Tamandua tetradactyla: one gene and its partner. The protein of the gene in region 1 interacts with the protein of each later gene in a biochemical or structural test. Links are inferred from orthologs where the notes say so. Each region holds a gene or a part of one and is shown in the gene's direction. Other genes may lie near its edges. The genes, in order: TNFRSF8 and TNFSF8.

The links.
Region 2: the proteins of TNFRSF8 (region 1) and TNFSF8 form a complex in vitro, tested with the Homo sapiens proteins (2 studies listed by BioGRID and IntAct). The link is inferred for Tamandua tetradactyla from reciprocal best matches to the Homo sapiens genes TNFRSF8 and TNFSF8.

Annotation. Positions count from the first base shown.
Region 1 is NC_135328.1:213,358,253-213,366,831, reverse strand, and holds the start of TNFRSF8 (tumor necrosis factor receptor superfamily member 8), read left to right. Parts: upstream 1-5,014; 5' UTR 5,015-5,102; intron 5,103-8,579. UniProt on the Homo sapiens protein: Receptor for TNFSF8/CD30L. May play a role in the regulation of cellular growth and transformation of activated lymphoblasts. Regulates gene expression through activation of NF-kappa-B.
Region 2 is NC_135328.1:42,671,502-42,679,845, forward strand, and holds the start of TNFSF8 (tumor necrosis factor ligand superfamily member 8), read left to right. Parts: upstream 1-4,928; 5' UTR 4,929-5,203; coding exon 5,204-5,398; intron 5,399-8,344.

The DNA of each region.
Region 1 (8,579 bases):
CAATTTTTTACCCTCTATCCCTCCCCTATTATTTATTTATATTTTTGTCCTTAATTTCTTACCCATCTGTCCATACCCTGGATAAAAGGAGCATCAGACACAAAGGTTTTCACAATCACACAGTCACATTATAAAAGTTATATGGTTACACAATCGTCTTCAAGAATCAAGGCTACTGGAACACAGCTCTACAGTTTCAGGTACTTCCCTTCAGCGTCTCTAATACACCACAAACCAAAAAGGGATATCTTTATCATGCATAAGAATAACCTCCAGGATAACCTCTCGACTCTGAAGTCTCTCAGCCACAGAAACTTTATTTAGTCTCACTTCTCTCCCACCTTTTCCCACCTCAGTCCTTGACCAGCCACCCTCAGCTCCTTTTTCTCCTTCAGCTGAGACCAGGTGGTGCTTTTTATTTATTTATTTATTTTGGGGGGGGTGCATGGTCTGGCAATCAAACCCGCATATAGGGCAGACATTCACCCACTGAACCCCCCGTGCACCCCAGGTGGTGCTTTTTGAGGGTGAAATTTACCAGGTTTTTACAGGGAAAAACAAACTGATTTGAAAATAGATAGGTTTAGAAATAGGATGGTTTCAGACCACTCTCTTTATCTTGAGGCCCCTAAGGCTGGGTGTCAGCTCAGCACCCTGCAGACGCCTTGCTCAGCCTTCACCCTGCTGGGGAACCCCACCCAAAAGCCCCCCTTCCAGTCCTTGGGCTTCCCCCTCCCACTCTCTCCTTTCTGACCCCTTGCCCTCCTAGGTAGGGCTGGCCCTTCCGGCCTCCTTGCTCGGTAGCAGCCATTGCTGACCAGCCGTCCAGGGTGGGGCCCCATGGCTGGTGACAGTGGACGGAGCTGTGGCAAATCAGAAGAGTTAGACTTCCTGGCTGCTGCCACCTTCTCTGTGGGGACCTGGGATGGGTGAAGGGCCCATGGGTGGGAGGTGGAGAGTAACAGGGGTCAGTGGGGCAGATGGGGGAGATCACAGAGGGAAAGCAATGAGTGGGGCTGTGGGGACCCTGGGCCAGTGTCGGGGGACCAGACGGGCACTTCTGGGTGAGACGAAGGGCCCAGATGTAGTCTCTCTTGGTTTCTGAGCTCCCCTCTCCCTCCCCCCGGGTCCTATTCGGCTATCTGGCACAGAGCAGGTGTTTGATATACTCACATGGTGGTCAGGAATCTCCTGACCTGGGCTCAGCCCCTGGGTCTCCCACACAGTGTGGCCCTTGGCCGGTGCCCCCTCTCTGACCCAGTTTCCACAGTAACAGTGGCCATGGGGTTGCTGGGTTGTTACTTCCACAACATGAGGGCAGAGTTGACCCCATTTTCTGGATGCTTGTAAGGTGATGATGTCATAGGAAAATAATTTCCCTGCTGTTCCACCACTGGTCTCCTCGGGGTCAGCCAGGGGCAGGTGGGGTGGGTGTTAGGTGACAGCTGAGCTGTGCCTCCACCCAGGCCCTGCCTGCACCTCTGGGAGTGGCTGGAGGGAGCTGGGGCCCAACTTCTCCGTGGGGGCAGGGGGTGCCTCCCTTCCGCCATAAGCCCCACATAGAAACCCTGTACTTCTTCCTTCCTGGTGCTAGACAGGCCTGATGCCCTGGCTGAGATCCTGTGTCCTCAGTAAACCACAAGAAAACGCTCCCCGATGGCAAACTGTATACCCCAGCTCCTTCCTTCCAGTTACCCAGAATTATTGTTGTAAAGAGCTGACACTCCGAAGCACTTAGCATCCTTTAGGTGCTGTTATTTACATATGTGCTTTGATACAGTTGCTTTATTTCTCTCTCTTTTTGTGTCACATATTATTACTATTTTCTTTGGTCAAACCATTTGCAGGTCAGTTGCTGACATTGTGATGCTTCATCTCTAAATACTTCAGCATGTTTTTTCTGCAACAAAGACATCTCTTAATAAACAAATGATCAAATGCAGGGTGTTTAACAACAGTAATATAACATTATCAAACATGAATTTCATATTCAAATTTCACCAGTCATTACAGTATTGTCCTTTATAGCAACTTTACAATCCCACCCTGCCCTGCCGTTTAGACCCAATCTAGGCATTGTAGCCAGTCATCATGTGTCCTTATCTGCAAATTCCTCAACTTTTCCTTGTCTCTTGTACATTGACATTTTTAAAGAGCCCAGGTCATTTGTTGTAGAAAGTACCTCAGTTTGGGTTTACCTGATGTTTGCTATGATTAGATTCAGATTACAGACTTTTGGTTGAAGGACCACAGAAGTGATACAGTGTCTTGCCCAGCCCAGGGCCCAGAGACGGGATAGATCTGAGGGTAAAATCTTTTCTCTGTGCTTAGTTGCTGTGTGACCTTGGGCTGGTGACTGCACCTCTCTGGGCTGCAGTTCTACAGTTTCCTCATTTATAAGATGGGGTGATCAACCCCCAGGGCTCGGGGGTGGGGGTAGGGGAAGTAAGGAGATGTGTGAAAGCACCAAGACCAACACTGTTGGGCTCCCTATTCTCCACACACTGTACCCCATCCCTCCATTGACTTGGGGTGTTCACGGCAAGAGATGAAGGGTAGAGCAGCCAAACTCCCCCTACCCAGCTGCCTCCCCACATCCTGGCAGAGTGATCAGGGACCTGAGGCTGTGGCCCCTCCGATTCTGCAGGCTTTCGGGAGATGAGCAGACAGGCCTGGTGGGGAAACCCAGGCCAGGGCCCCAGAATTTCCCCAACCCTCAGCTGGCCCAGTACTGCCCAACCCTCGTGCCCTGACCCATTCCACTCGCAGGCTTCCGAGGCTGCTCAGGGAGATGCTGGGAGGTCAGGGGGAACCTCCGGTTGTGTTGGCAGGTGTCTGCCCCCTGGCAAGGCTCTCAAGAGTGCCTCGATTTACAGCTGGGAGGTATGAGATCCTGCTGGAAGGAGGAGCTGGACGTGGGGTGGGGTGGCCTCATGTCCCTGGGCTCTGGATTAGATGAGAAAAGAGACACACAAGTTCCAAGAGACTGGTGTCATGCAAATGTCAGGCTATAGTTATTATTTCAAATTTATATGGTGATATGTTTCAGATGTGCAAAAAAAAAAAGAAAAATGGTATCAACACAACTAGGTGCATGCACCTGGCCAGCTGGACTCCTTTCTGTTCTCTGAACACACAAGATATATTGGTTTTATAGTTTGCACTGTTGCCTTGAGGGGAAAGAAGAGGGGGTGATGGCCCTTTTGGGGCAGCCAGGCCTCCCTCCTGAGAGGGGTCCAGCTTTTCTGCTTTCTTCTCCTCAAACCAAGTTCTTCCCTTCCCCCTGGATGAGCCTCGTCCATCCTAAAGGTAGCTCTGTCTCCCTGGAAGCCTGCCTCGGTGCTCTCCAGCCATCCCCCCAAGAAGACCAGAATCCCTTCTCCAGGATTCCAGCAGAAACTTTTCTTCTCTTGAATCCCCTCCGGCAGTGGGGCTGAATTTTTAAAGAGTACCAGACTTATGTTGGGGGAGGGCTTGGTAAAAATGCATGTTCCTGAAAAAAGTGAGCCTTGCCTCCATCACACATCACACACAAGATGGAATTCCTGATGGCTTGTCCACGCAAACAGGAAAAGTTAAATGACATCTTCTAGAAGATAAAGAGACTATTTAAATGATATTAGGTGGGCAGATGTTTCTTAAACAGGACACAAAAAAGGGAATTAACCATAAGAGAAATGATGGCTACATTGTACTTCATTACACTTAAGAATTCTGTTCATCAAAAGAGTCAATGGAGAAAGAGAAAAGGCAAGCTGTGGGACGGGAGACAATATTTACCACACATATATCCAACAAAGGACTTGTATCTAAAATATATAAACAAACAAATAAAAAAAAGTCAGACAACCCAATTAAAAAAAAATGGGCAAAAGACTCAGACATTCTACATGACAGAATATCCAGATGGCTAGTAACCATGTGAAAGTGCCCAATCTCATTTCTCATCAGAGAAAGGTAAATAAAAAACACAATGAGATACCAATACACATCCACCAAAATGGCTAACATTAAAAAACTGACAATACCAAGTGTTGGCAAGGATGTGGACAGTGGGAACTCGCACACACTGCCGGGAGGTATCAGTTGATACAGCCACTTTGGGAAACTGGAGAATCTATTGAAGCTGAACCTATGCATACCTTATGGCCCAGCAGTTCCACCCCTAAGTCTATACACAACAGAAATGTGAACATTTATGCAGCAAAATATCTGTATAGGAATGCTCTTAGCCACACTATCCATCACAATAAAAAACTGGAGACAACCCTAATATTCCATCAAGAGTAGAACAGAGAAATAATCTGTGCATATTCATGCAATGCAATAGTGCAAAGCAAAGAACATGGATCATTCTCACACTATAATGTTGAATTGAAGAGTTCAGTGGCAAGAGAACAAACAGCCTGCGTGATGCTAGTGGTCTCAAGTTCGAAAACAGACAAAAGCTAATCTGGGGTGTAGAAGTCAGGTTGGTGGGTACCTTTTGGGGATGTAGCATGAAGGGGCATGTGGAGGTGGCTGGGGTGCTGGCAATGACCATGAGGTCTGGGTGCTGATTGCAAAGTGTGTTAACACTGAAAGTCAGTGGGTTGCACGCTTGCCCTCTGTGCACTTTTCCATGGGTGCTAGACCGCAACAAACAAGTTTACTAAAAGTCCATGCTGGGCCAGGAGGGGGAGGAGGGGGGCTGAGTGGTCCGAAGAGGGCCGTGAGGATTTCCTGGTGGGTCGATGCAAGGACGAGAGGAAGAGAGACTCAAGGAAGTCTCGGAGGGCTTGGGTCTGAGCTACTGCCTGCTGGGGTTGTCATTGACCGGCCACGGGGATGTCCGCGGCGCAGTGGGTTTGAGGGAGAGGTGGAGTCAGGCCTTCCTGCCCCGGCTGTACATGAGGCTCGGTCCCAGCCTGGCTCTGACAGCGAGTGGAGACGACACTGGGCTTCCTGGGGCTGGAGGGGCCCACGGGGGGACTGATCACCCGCTGACCAGCTCTCGGCATGTCTGACCCCCCAGGACCGAGCCCCCAGGAACACCTGTGGCAGAGACCCCAGGCGCTACTATGACAAGGCAGCTGGCAGGTGCTGCTACCACTGCCCTGCAGGTGAGTGGGGTGCCTGGGGTGGGGACAGGGGGGGATTTTTGCCTCAAGGCCACAATCCTCTGGGAAGACCATAGCCCACATCATCATTGTCACAATCGGTTTAAGATTCTGCAAGGACTTTCCTGAGGAATCCACAATCTAGAAACTCTCTGTTGGAAGAGTAGGGCGAGAAGGATCAGGAGACTAGGTTTGTTGCTGCCACAAGGAAGAAGGTAGGTCTGTGAGTTCTGCTGTCAATTTCTAGCGGCCCCTATTGTTCTGAGACCTCCCATGCGTTGCATCATCTCATGAAGACCTCCCAATTATCCTTCCCTATTCCCATTTTGCAGTAGAGGACAGCAGGGCTTCAGCAAGGGTAAGTAACTTGCCCAGAGCCGCAGAGCTGAGAGCGGCAGGGCTGGCGGTGCCCAGGGCTGCGTTTCCCCAGAGCCTGGGCTGTCAACACCCACCGACCGCCCCGCTTCGGGTGCCTGGAAGTCCTTTGCCTTCCTCAACTGCTCCAGCCCCGAACATGCCAGTAGAGCTTTCAAGGGACCGGTCTCCCTGCCCAGAGCATGCTTCCTGGGGTGCTCGCCCACCCCCACAGTGGTTGGCTCCTGGTGGATTATCAGGAAAAGCTTCTGAGAACAGGGACGGGCATTGTCCTTCCCATCTCACAGACGATGCTCTGGCCCAAGGAGGTGAGCAAGTAGCATGAGGTCCAGAGGTATTTCCATCCTCAGAAGGCATGGCCAGGGACCTTAGCTGTGTTGGAAAAAGATAAAAGTGCACCGTGTCCTCTGACCTCCGGGGACAGGGCAGGTCACAGGGGAGGGAAGAGAGCAGTTATGCCAGCTATGCCGGGAACGTGTCTGGTTCATCGTAACTGCTGCAGTGCTTTGAGGACAGCAGGTCATCGGAGGACAAGCCTGCTCCATCTGTCTGTCACCCTTCTCCCCCCACACCCCCTCTCCCATGCACACTTCTCCCACTGCCTCCCACCCCTCTCCCATGAGCTCTTCCATCTACCCATCCAACAAATATTTATTGCTAGTTCTTATAGTGAGGTCACTCTTTGGCCCTTGGCCTTTCTGTAGAAAGCTGTGCTTGGTGTCCCTGGACATACTGGGGGCTTTCAGGTCTCTGGCCCTTTGCCCAGGCCTGCTCCTCTACCTGGGGGGCCCTGCCCACTGTCTCCTACCTGCCAAAGCCTGCCCCCTCTTCCGTGAGGTCTGTCACACATGCCTGTGCTGTCTCCCACACGGCACCTCCCGGGCTAAGCTCAGTCAGGGCTTTCACTCTCCCCTTTGGGCGGGGTGTGGCCCCCAGAGTTCTGCGGCTTTCCATGGGGTCTGCAGTCCCAGCCACTTCCTTCTCACCCTTCTCTGGCCCCTTTGATCCAGCCTGACAGGGCCCTGAGGCCATGAAGGGGTGGGGCGGGGCGGTGGGATGGGGCAGTGGGGAGGGGGAAGAGGCACAATCCCGGCCCCCCACCTCTCCCAGGCGCCTGTGACTGCGGGTGGCCACCCCACGCGGCTGCACTGGGCAGGGCATTTTGCTGGAGTTTTATTGGCCCAGTGCTTCCGGGCAAGCAAGTGAGGGAAGCCGAAAAACCCACAAAAACCCCTCCCTTGGTCTCTTGGGGAAATTTCTGACATTTTGTCCGTGGTCTACAATCAGCACTCAGCTGTGTGGCAGGGTTTGCACGGGGGCGGGGTGGTAGAGGAAGGAAGCTGGGAGACCTTTGAGTCTGAGAGGTTTAGATGTCACCAAATCCATCCTCTTACTCTGACCCTTTTATAATCCCCTTTCCAGTTGTCCTGACAGATTCCCCAGCCCTCTGCTTACATGCCCTCAGTGACAGGGAGCTCACTGCCTCACAACTACTGTAATTAACATTGAGTATGCGTGTGTGCCAGCCATAGTGCTGTGTCTTTTACAGAATTAGCTCACTGAACCCTGTCTTAGTTTCCTGGGGCTGCTGTAACCAAGTACCATGAACTGGGTACTTGGGGAGACTCCTTTCTTGCCTCTTCCAGTTTCTAGGGGTTTGCTGGCAATCCTTGCTATTTCTCAGCTTGCAGCTGCAACACTTCAATCCTGGCTTCCGTCACCCCATGGCCATCTTCTCTCATCTGTCTCTTCTCTTCTTATAAGGACACCAGTCCTACTGGATTGGAGGCCCAGCCCATTCCCATAAAACCTCATCTTAACTTAATGAATTCCATCTGCAATGCCCCTATTTTCAAATAAGGCCGGATTCCCAGATGCAGGTCATCCCGTAACAAACCCTTACAGGAACCCCATGAGGTAGGTGCTATTATTAAATTCCACAGCAAGTGAAGAAACTTGGACATGGAGAGGTTTAGGATTTGCACAAGGCCCCGTGCTGGTCAGTGGCTTAGCTGGGATTTGAACCTGAGCCTTCAAGATCTGAATCTTGACTTATTTGATACAGACCCCCAAGGCCTTGCTCTTTGGGTACAGCAGGGCATATCAGTTAAGAGCTGATATTGGGGCTACAAACCCACTTCCTCTTCTCTACCATGCCTCCTGGATCATCCTTCTTCTTGATGTCCAGACTTATTTCCTGCAGAAGGGGTCTCCCTGCAGATGAGAGGCCTGCCCAGGTGTGGGGGGCAAGAGTGTGGAAGCCAGGCCCAGTGTTAGGTGGAGAGCCAGGGTGGGGCTAGGTGGGTGTACCCAATCTCATCCAAGGGACTGAGGCTTTCTCCCAGGGCTGTAAATATTGCCGCTCAAAAGTGAGCCCTTGTCCGATGTGCATCACAGTCAATTAAGTGACACTGGGATTTTTTTTTTTTTTTTTTAACATGGGCAGGCACTGGGAATCGAACCCGGGTCCTCTGGCATGGCAGGCAAGCATTCTTGCCTGCTGAGCCACCGTGGCCCACCCTACACTGGGATTTTAAGAGGAGAAAAACTTTATTTAGCAAAGGCTAGCCTTGTGAAGACAGCAGGACAGTTCCTTACATCTGTCTCCCCAAATTGGAGAAGATTTCAGTGGTTCATAGCATTCAAATAAGGGCAGGCAGGCTTAGGGTAATGAGGTGGTTTGAGGTGATGAGGTTAGAGTTAGTCTCATTTCTGATTATGCACATATTGATTTCATGCTCAGCTCACTTTAAGGTTTAGGCTACTGTGCATGTAAGGCGTGGGCTAACTGTGATTAGAACTGGCTTGGTCTAGCAAAATAGATTAGGAATTGGGGTGGTTAGTTCTGGGTTGACTCATGTGACTTCATTAATAAACACTGAGGGGTTACATGCAGGAGTATCAGACTTCAGGGTTATAAAACAAGAGAAGGGGATACAAGCCGGGCCAGTTACGTCTCGTCACAAGGTAAAGATGGCAACGATCAGAGGTATTTGCTTCTGGCTATGTCACAATATATTAGAAAGTTTGAAAGCATTTAGATAATGCTTCAGTAACTATACTTGTTTGTTAGCACTTGGTTACTCAAGCAAGACGTGGCCTCAG
Region 2 (8,344 bases), about 170 Mb from region 1:
TGTTCTGAAATCCAATGTGTTTCCTTCTTTGTCCTTGTTGTCAGGAAGCCCAGAGGTATGCATCTTGTATACAAATTCTCAAAGTGTCATCAACTAGAGTTTCTTAGTACTTTTATCTTACTCTCTTTGCTATATCATGGTTTCTATCTTTACGTTGGATTAATTGCTCCAGTTCTTATATACCTGTACATTTATCATAAATTGCCTTAAAACTGTTTTAAAGTAGGCAGGGATAAAATATATATATATATGTCTTATGTATATGTGTGTGAGTGTGTGTGTATTTATGTAACATATAAATATATAATATGCGAATATTATATTCTAAAAGTCTACCTATTAGTCTCCCAGACGTCTTCAGCCCACACCCCTCATCCTTCAGCTATTCTGTTTTCTCAAGAAGTCTATTTTTGTCGTGCACCATCCAGGACATACAACTCCTCTCCAATTAGTGAATCCCAAAAAGAATTCTCTCACATGAAAGTGCGAATCAGAAACGTAGGTATTACCAAAAACTTTGTAAGGGAGTCTTAAGCAATGCATTTCTATTCTTTTCCCCAAACCTCTTCTCAGTTCTCCTGCTTTAGGTTTATTTTGATATTACAAACTAGGTTTCAGAAATATTTTCTGTAAAGGACTAGATAGTAACTGTTTTAGACTTTGTGTGCCAAGAGAGTTCATCAAACCTGCTGGGGTAGTACAAATGCAGCCATAGATAATGGATGTCGTCATGTTCCAATAAAATTTCATTGACAAAAATAAGTGCCTGGCCAGCTTTGGGCTATGGGCCATAGTTTGCTGCTTTCTACTCTAAACCTTACTCCCACTGTACCTACCCTCACTGGTTCTTGTCACGGAAATGTCCCTCTGGTCCGATTCCGATGCCCAGCCTCTTCACATTAGCCCCAGCAAGACAATGGCTTTTGAACTGATGGCACAGGAAACTCCCTCCACACAAGATGGTTTAGTTGCATGCTTTACTGCTTGAGCATATCCTGAGAGAGTCCCTCCTTCTCTCACATACACCAGTAGATTAAAAAAATATATTTCTTTCTATCACAAACTGTGACCACCACAAGAGAAATTTAGATAAATAAAATTCCTTCTGTTTATTTACAAATATATGCCCAGCTACATCATCGGTAATATTTTCAGGGCTTACAACCTAGGCTAACCTAATATTTGAGGTTTGAAAGAGATCTCAATCACGGGGCAGAAAAACTAGTCTTCACACAACCCTTACCCAGCTTATGACCCCAGACAATAATTTCTCTATGCCTCAGTTTTCTCATCTGCACAATGGGCATAGTAATTCACCTGCCAAATGCCAGAATCTGGACCAGATTATCTCCCGGAGTTCTTCCTAGAAGTTAGACAACTTATTTCCCTAAACCGCTGATTCTCAAATATTTGCATGCATGACGATTCCCTGGAGTGCTTGTTAAAACACGCATGACTGGGCCCCAGCCTGAGTTTCTGATTCAGTAGGTCTGGGGTAAGGTCTGAGAATTTGCATTTCTAATAACTTTCCAGGTGATATTGATGCTACTGGTTCCCAGACCACATTTTGAGAACTACTAGCCTATGTGACAGAGATCTCACAGTCCCTTATATGCGGAAGCAATGGGAAGTCCTATAGGTGGTTCCTCTTCATTTTCTCAAAATGGGGTTCTCTCTTGTAGGGATGACAAATCAGTTCTGTTTTCCCACTGAGTTGTAGGTACTGCAGCCACACCTCAGCCACTAATAACTGGCTGAGAAGAGGCTGGTGGTCAAGCTCACATGGCCAGACTAGAACATAAAGGCCAATGGACAGCTGAGTAAACCATCTAAAGAGAATGGACAAATGGGGGTTGGGGCAGCTAAGAAGGGAGAGGCAAATATGCCATCATCCAATTCTTTTATCTAAGCCACCATTCTAGGGCTTTCTCTTTCCATAAACACAAAGACAGTCAACACAAGTGCTGACTGAGAGTTGACTGACCATAGGTCCCAGTCTCCAATAAGGCTTGGTGGTTTACAAGGATTCAGAAGTCTGAGAAGAGCAAGAGAAGTAGCTACTTAGCAATGAGGTTATGTGGCATGGAGAAAAAGGGTTGCTGAAGAGGGTATTTCACTCAAGAGGTTGGGAAGGCTCTGCTGGAGATGGTGAGGAAGGCTGGCAGGCAGCTGGAAGGACAGGAAAGATCTGAAGCAGCGGAAGGGTGAGGAAAACATCAGAGGAAGCCTGCGAGCACCTAGAATATTAGCAGAGAGTAGATAAGAAAGTGTAGAGGAGACTTCTAAGCAGGTCTCTACCCCTGTCCATGTGAACTCTACCAAGACACTGCCATTTCTATGTCTCAGTTTCCCTTTGGGGGAAGTGAAGGGTTTGAGCTCAGTCAGAAGTTTTCCTATGTTATTCCATCTTAGAGTGGCCCCAGGTTAGAAGAGGGTGGACGAATAGGCAGGACCAACCCCTTTTCCTTGTCCCAACCTTGCTTCAGGCAGAGCTGTTCCTCTTTCTTGCATCTTTTCTCTCTTTATCGAGTTTCACTTCCAGAAAGGAATTGAAAACCACTCCACAAGAAACTCTGTGTAAAGGCTCTTTCCGTGGGCAAACTTGGTGGCTGAATAAAAGAAAGAAGCCAATTAGACACAGGCTGGTACCCGCTAAGCGGGGTGCAGCTTGGAAGACAAAGAAGGGTAAGATTAACGGGGACAGGAATAGGGAACCACCGAAGGCTTCTGAGTAGAAGGGCACCACCAGCAAATGTGCGAAATCTGGCCCAAAAGCAGCTGGAGAAACAAACCGATCTGAAAATCTCAACTGCTCAGAAGGTTCTGAGTAAAATCAACGGGCGTTATTTTTCCCCCTTGTCAGCCTTCCCTCCCAGGACACTGTACTGTATGCAAAACGGGTAACTGTAAGACAAACATTTTTTTCCACTGCCCTTCTCAACCCCATGGGCCTTCAGGAAGCCGGGCACTTCAAGCAAACCCTTTTTATTTTTCAACACCCACAGCTTCCATTCAACAATCAGAAGTTTTCCATTTTCATCAAAGAGGCTGAACACAGAGGACTGGGGGAGGAGCTGGTTCTCAGCAGCTCTGGGCAGATTAGAGAGCCCCCTGCTACCCACTCACTGCCTGTGTCTCCCACAGGACTCAACCTTCTCCCCAAAACAGCCACTGAACACACCCCTAAAAACACTGGCTTCTTTCATTCCCTCCTCAATTACCAGACCAAATGAATGTGCATACACATTTCTTCCAAAACTCAGTTCAAGTTGGGTTCAAGAGGACGCCAACCTCCTCAACTGTAGAATAAGTATACTGCCGCCCACTTGACTTAGCCCAAGAAAACAATTCCTCTTCCTTCTCCAGGATCTATGTTCTTACTTGGATTCATTGGGAAGGAACATGACATCCAGACCAACTCCCAGAAGCTGACTTAACTCAGGTGATCCTCCGAAATTTTAGATTGACAAGACTGTGGCAGTGATAAAAAATCCAAAGTCAGCCAGGATATTTCCTGAGAAATGTCCTGGGGTCTGAGATAATCACTGCCTCTCACAGATCTACTACAGCCAAAAACTGAGCAGAAAGGGGAGGAGTTCTACAAATAACTGGTTACTTCCCGGTTTTAAACAACCACATCTGGAGACAGTAGCTATGCAATGATTCACATTTTAAATGGGGTTTTGAAATTGAGAGTCAGCCAGGGAGATCCCCTGCCTCAATCATTAGTAACCAGAGATGTGTGACCCAGCTCTGTCCCCCCAAGAGAACCTATGTATTGTATTTATCTCAATTCCAGAATTGGCCACTTGGATGTTTGAAAAAGAATGGCCCTAAATCATCCACCAAGACTATTCCTATTTACAAAGCACTCTTACATCATCATGCCATTTGATCTTCATAATGACTATTATTGCAGGTGTCCTTAGCCCATTTTGCAGATGGAAAAAGAGAGGGACATAAGGACTTGTTCAAACACCCAAGGCTAATAAGAGGTAAGGCTGAGCCCAAACCTCTGCTTTTGAGCCTTCAAGCGCAATAAAGTTTGAATGGGATTGCACAGGCTTTGGGGCCAGGCAGGTTTTGATGACATTCAAGTTCTTTCATTGCCCAACAGATTTCATTTTCTCTGAACCTCAATTTTCCCATCCTGTGTATGGGAAGTCTATGACTGCTTCAGAGAGCCAAGGAGAGGGTAGGGTGAGGCAATGTACGTAAATCTCCTAGCGCTGTGCCTGGAACAGAGATCTAATTATAGTAGTCACATACACATACACAAGCACGCACAAAACACACCATAAACACTTACAACACACATATGCAACACCTACCACAAACACAACATATACCACAAACACACACACACAACACACACGTAACATACCACATCCGCAGACACCACAAACACACCGCACATTCCCTACCACACCACCTTCCCACCTCCATACCACAAATTCCTTCCTCTTTTTATCAGGCCCGGGTTGATATGCACATTTAACAGATCCCAAAGCACTTTGCAGAAAAGGGCAGTGTTTCTGGACCCCTGTACTACAGTATCACTGAACTTGTCCCCAGATTTCATGCTGCCACGAGGGTGTCCCCTTTTTGGGTAAAAACTCCATGTTGGTGGACTCTTCCTTCCCAGACACCTGATTGCATTTCTAGTTCCCACCAGGGGCTGATATTATCAGACTAAACTGTTTTAAGTCAAAAGGGTCCAGCCTTCCCAAAACTCAGCCCAGAGGCATCCGAGGAGGTCTTCCCAGCAGCAGACCTTGCTGAAGAGAACGTGCAGCCTCTCAAGCAGGAAGGAGTTTCGTGGTTGAGTCTAAGTGAAACCAAAGTCTCTTTGTACGCGCGCGCGCGCACACACACACACACACACACACACACACACATACAGTAGGGGAACTGTCATTTTCCTATGCGCCCTCTGACATCAGCCACCTTCTCCGTAGCTGCAGTTTCTCTGCACTCAAATTAATCCCTGGCGATGAAAAATGAACTTCTCCCCCACTCTTGCAGTTGCCTTTTGCCTCACGCCCCCAGAAAAGGTTTTCTTCACAAGGCAGCTGGTGAAGGTTTTTTTCCAGGTCACGTGATCCAGGATGCAGGGGGAGAATCCTTCTTGGAACCGAGATGGGCCCAGAACCGACTCAGATGAGGAGAGATAAGGTGTGATGCAGGGACGACTATATAAACAATGGACACTGGACTGTCGCAAACACTCAACAGGGTGGCCCCCTTCCGAGACCCAGCCATGCATGGGCCGTCAGACTCTGTCTCCAGCCACTTGGGATCCCCTATCCGGAGTTATTTCTATTTCACCACAGCCACCCTGGCTCTGAGTCTCGTCTTTGCTGTGGCAACCATCATGGTGTTGGTAGTTCAAAGAACGGTAAGTGGGCTCCTTCGCCTTGCCTCTCCTTTCTAATTTATGTTTACTTTCCTCCAGGGAGAATTTGGTTAAAAAAAAAACAAAACTACAAATTGAGAGAGAGAGAAAAAAAAAACATATATCATATAAGGAAAGGGAGAAAAGAAACAGGAGCCTAACTCTTTGAAATCATTTGACCCTTCAAGAAATATTTCTTAAGCCATTATCTCAAAACTTTCCAGGCTCATGTGAGCCAAAAGGATGGAGGGCAACTGTTGGCCTTTAGAAATTAAGATTTAAATCTTGTTATGCCAGAGACTCATATCAAGGAAAGAATAGATACGGACACCTGATAGCATGTTTGCACAACTTGCTGTCCTGTCTTCAAGGCTTTGAGACCAGATTCCAATGTTCATCTCCTCAGTCCAGATGTTCCTCGGGCTTCTGAGACCACATCCGTCACCAAGACCTTTAAACAGGGAGGTCAATCTCAAGGGTCAAAGTCATTAATGGAGGGGGGCAAGGGAGCAGACAAAAGCTCCTTAGGGCTTTGGCATTTCAGCATTAAAAGCCACAGGGAAAATTGAAAACATGCCTCTGCTTTGAAGAGTTTAGGGTGTAGAGTGCAAAGGCAAAAAAATAGAGATAATTTTAACAAACCATTCCCTCCAAGCCTCCTCAGAACTCTAAAATTAAAGCAATCATGAGGTACACGCTATACAGGGTAAAGCCATCTCAGGAGGTTTACTTAGTTTGAAATAAAGGGTTAAGATTTGTTTCTGAAAACAGAAGAGATGAAGACGGAAGCTTCTTCACAGTTTAGAAAATCTGCATTTACAGAGAATCCATCAGTATGTATTTTATTGAAAAGACTGTGCTGATCACATATATTGCACATGAATTTTTTTAATGAAGTAAATTTTTTGTGTTTAAAGAACAGATAATTTGAGAATGTACTCTCCATTCCCCAGCCCTATGTTTATTTCTTTATAGCATCCATTTTTCATGGTTTAGCAATCCTGCAGAATTTGCTGTGGGTCTCCTCCCATTGTCTAATGTCAAATGCTCTATAATTTCTTGATTGCAAAAAAGATCTAGGTTTTAAAATGCTTTGGTATCCATTCCTCAAGTGTGAACAGGCTTCAAAATTTAAATAAAGTTTTGAAGCTCACATATCCATAAAAGTGAAAGGATACAGAATTTTTAACATTTTATTTAGATAATGGAAATTTGTAAAACATTACTTAATGGGCTCATCTACATCTACTAAGATTAATACTCGTGCAAACATTCTAGGGAATCTTTTTCTTGGCAGATACTCTATAATTTCTATAGCTCTAATTATGAGTTAACTAGAGGTAGTCATCTCATAGCAGTAAAGAAAAGAAATTGAAGTGGACTTTAAGAAGTTCTTTAGTTAAAAGATGCAGATAGAACTGCTAAGACGAAGAACGAGGAAGAAGAAGAAGGAAAAAGAGAGGAAGAGTGAGAACGTGAAAGGAAGGAAGGAAGAGAGAAAGAGAAAAGACAGTATGGTTGATATTTGTTGGGGAGAAAAGGGTGATATATAAAGCTAGAAAGAGCTCCAGAATGGTCCTCATTCAAATCTAACTTTTAGTTTAATTGATTTCTTCCATGATACTGGAGTGGCTCTTTCTGCTTCCTTTGAATAAATGTGGAGAATGAGAAGAATAGAAAGGACAGTACTTGAATTAAATCTCATCCTGAGAAAGTGGTAGCATTGCTTTTGTCAATATAGACAGCGACAGACCTAAGGAACTGTCCCCACTCCTCTCTTGGAGGCCTTATCTTCTTGTGCATCCATTTTCTTGACTTACCCTTCATGCTTGGGTATGAATGGATTCATCTCACAATCTGTACAATTTGGCATGCTGTGGTTTCTCAGCATGAGAAACATCAATCTCTTGCTTAAAAACTAAGGCCTGTAATATTAATATCAATAGTAATGTTGTGTTGAGCTCTTTCAACATTTCATTTCCAGTGGATTGTTCAGATGTTAACTATTATAAGAATTAAGACAAAAGTGTTATCCCTTTGAGCTTGAGTTATCAAGAAAGACTTCCTGCAAGAAGAGGGAATGTGGACTGACTTAAAGATAGGTAGAATTTAGACAAGCAAGGAAACTTTAATAAGACTCTAGGGAAGAAATCTATGGGAGAGACCCATGGAACTTAAACTTACAATTCCATTATTGAACATGGAATGGGTTGATTGCCATATAACACCCAATGAGTGAGGCTGTCCTAGCAGGGTTGAAGGACCATGAAAACAATGGTCTTACAGTTCTAGATCAGTAGGCACATGTGCAAACACAGTTTAAAACAAGGTTAAGTCTGACAGAGGTGTTCTGGACCCATCAGCTTTTCTTGAATCAAGCCCCCAGAATTTTCTTCCTGCCCATTGAACACTGATGAAGAATGAATAAACGGTTGCATTTTTATGGGATGAATGCTCCTTTGGTTTGTCTGCCAGTTTTTGTCTCCAGAAACCCGAGGTTTGATTTGCGACTGGAGCGCACTCATTGTTTCAGTCGCCACGGAGAAGGTGGACACTACCATTATGATACTACTCCAGATACAGTGGGATATCTTGGATACTTTTTACCTGCAGAGCTTCTCTATCGTATTGACCAACCAAAGGAAGCCCACTCAACTGGATGAGATTAAATCAGCTAATACTCATTTACAAAAAGAAATCAATAATTTAAAAATTATTTTTAAAATTTAGCTCACTGATTGAAAGTAACATAAAACCCAGTGGAAAGTGCCTCAGTATTAAACCTTATTTTTTTTTTGGTGTCTAAAATCAAAGGTTTTCTTGAAACTATATTCTATATAATTTTGTAAAGCCATCTTAGAGAAGCTACTGGTAACAAACATACATAATTGAGATGTTCTTTGCTTTTTTTAATTTTATAATATCAGCGAAATCAGTATCTCAAGTTTA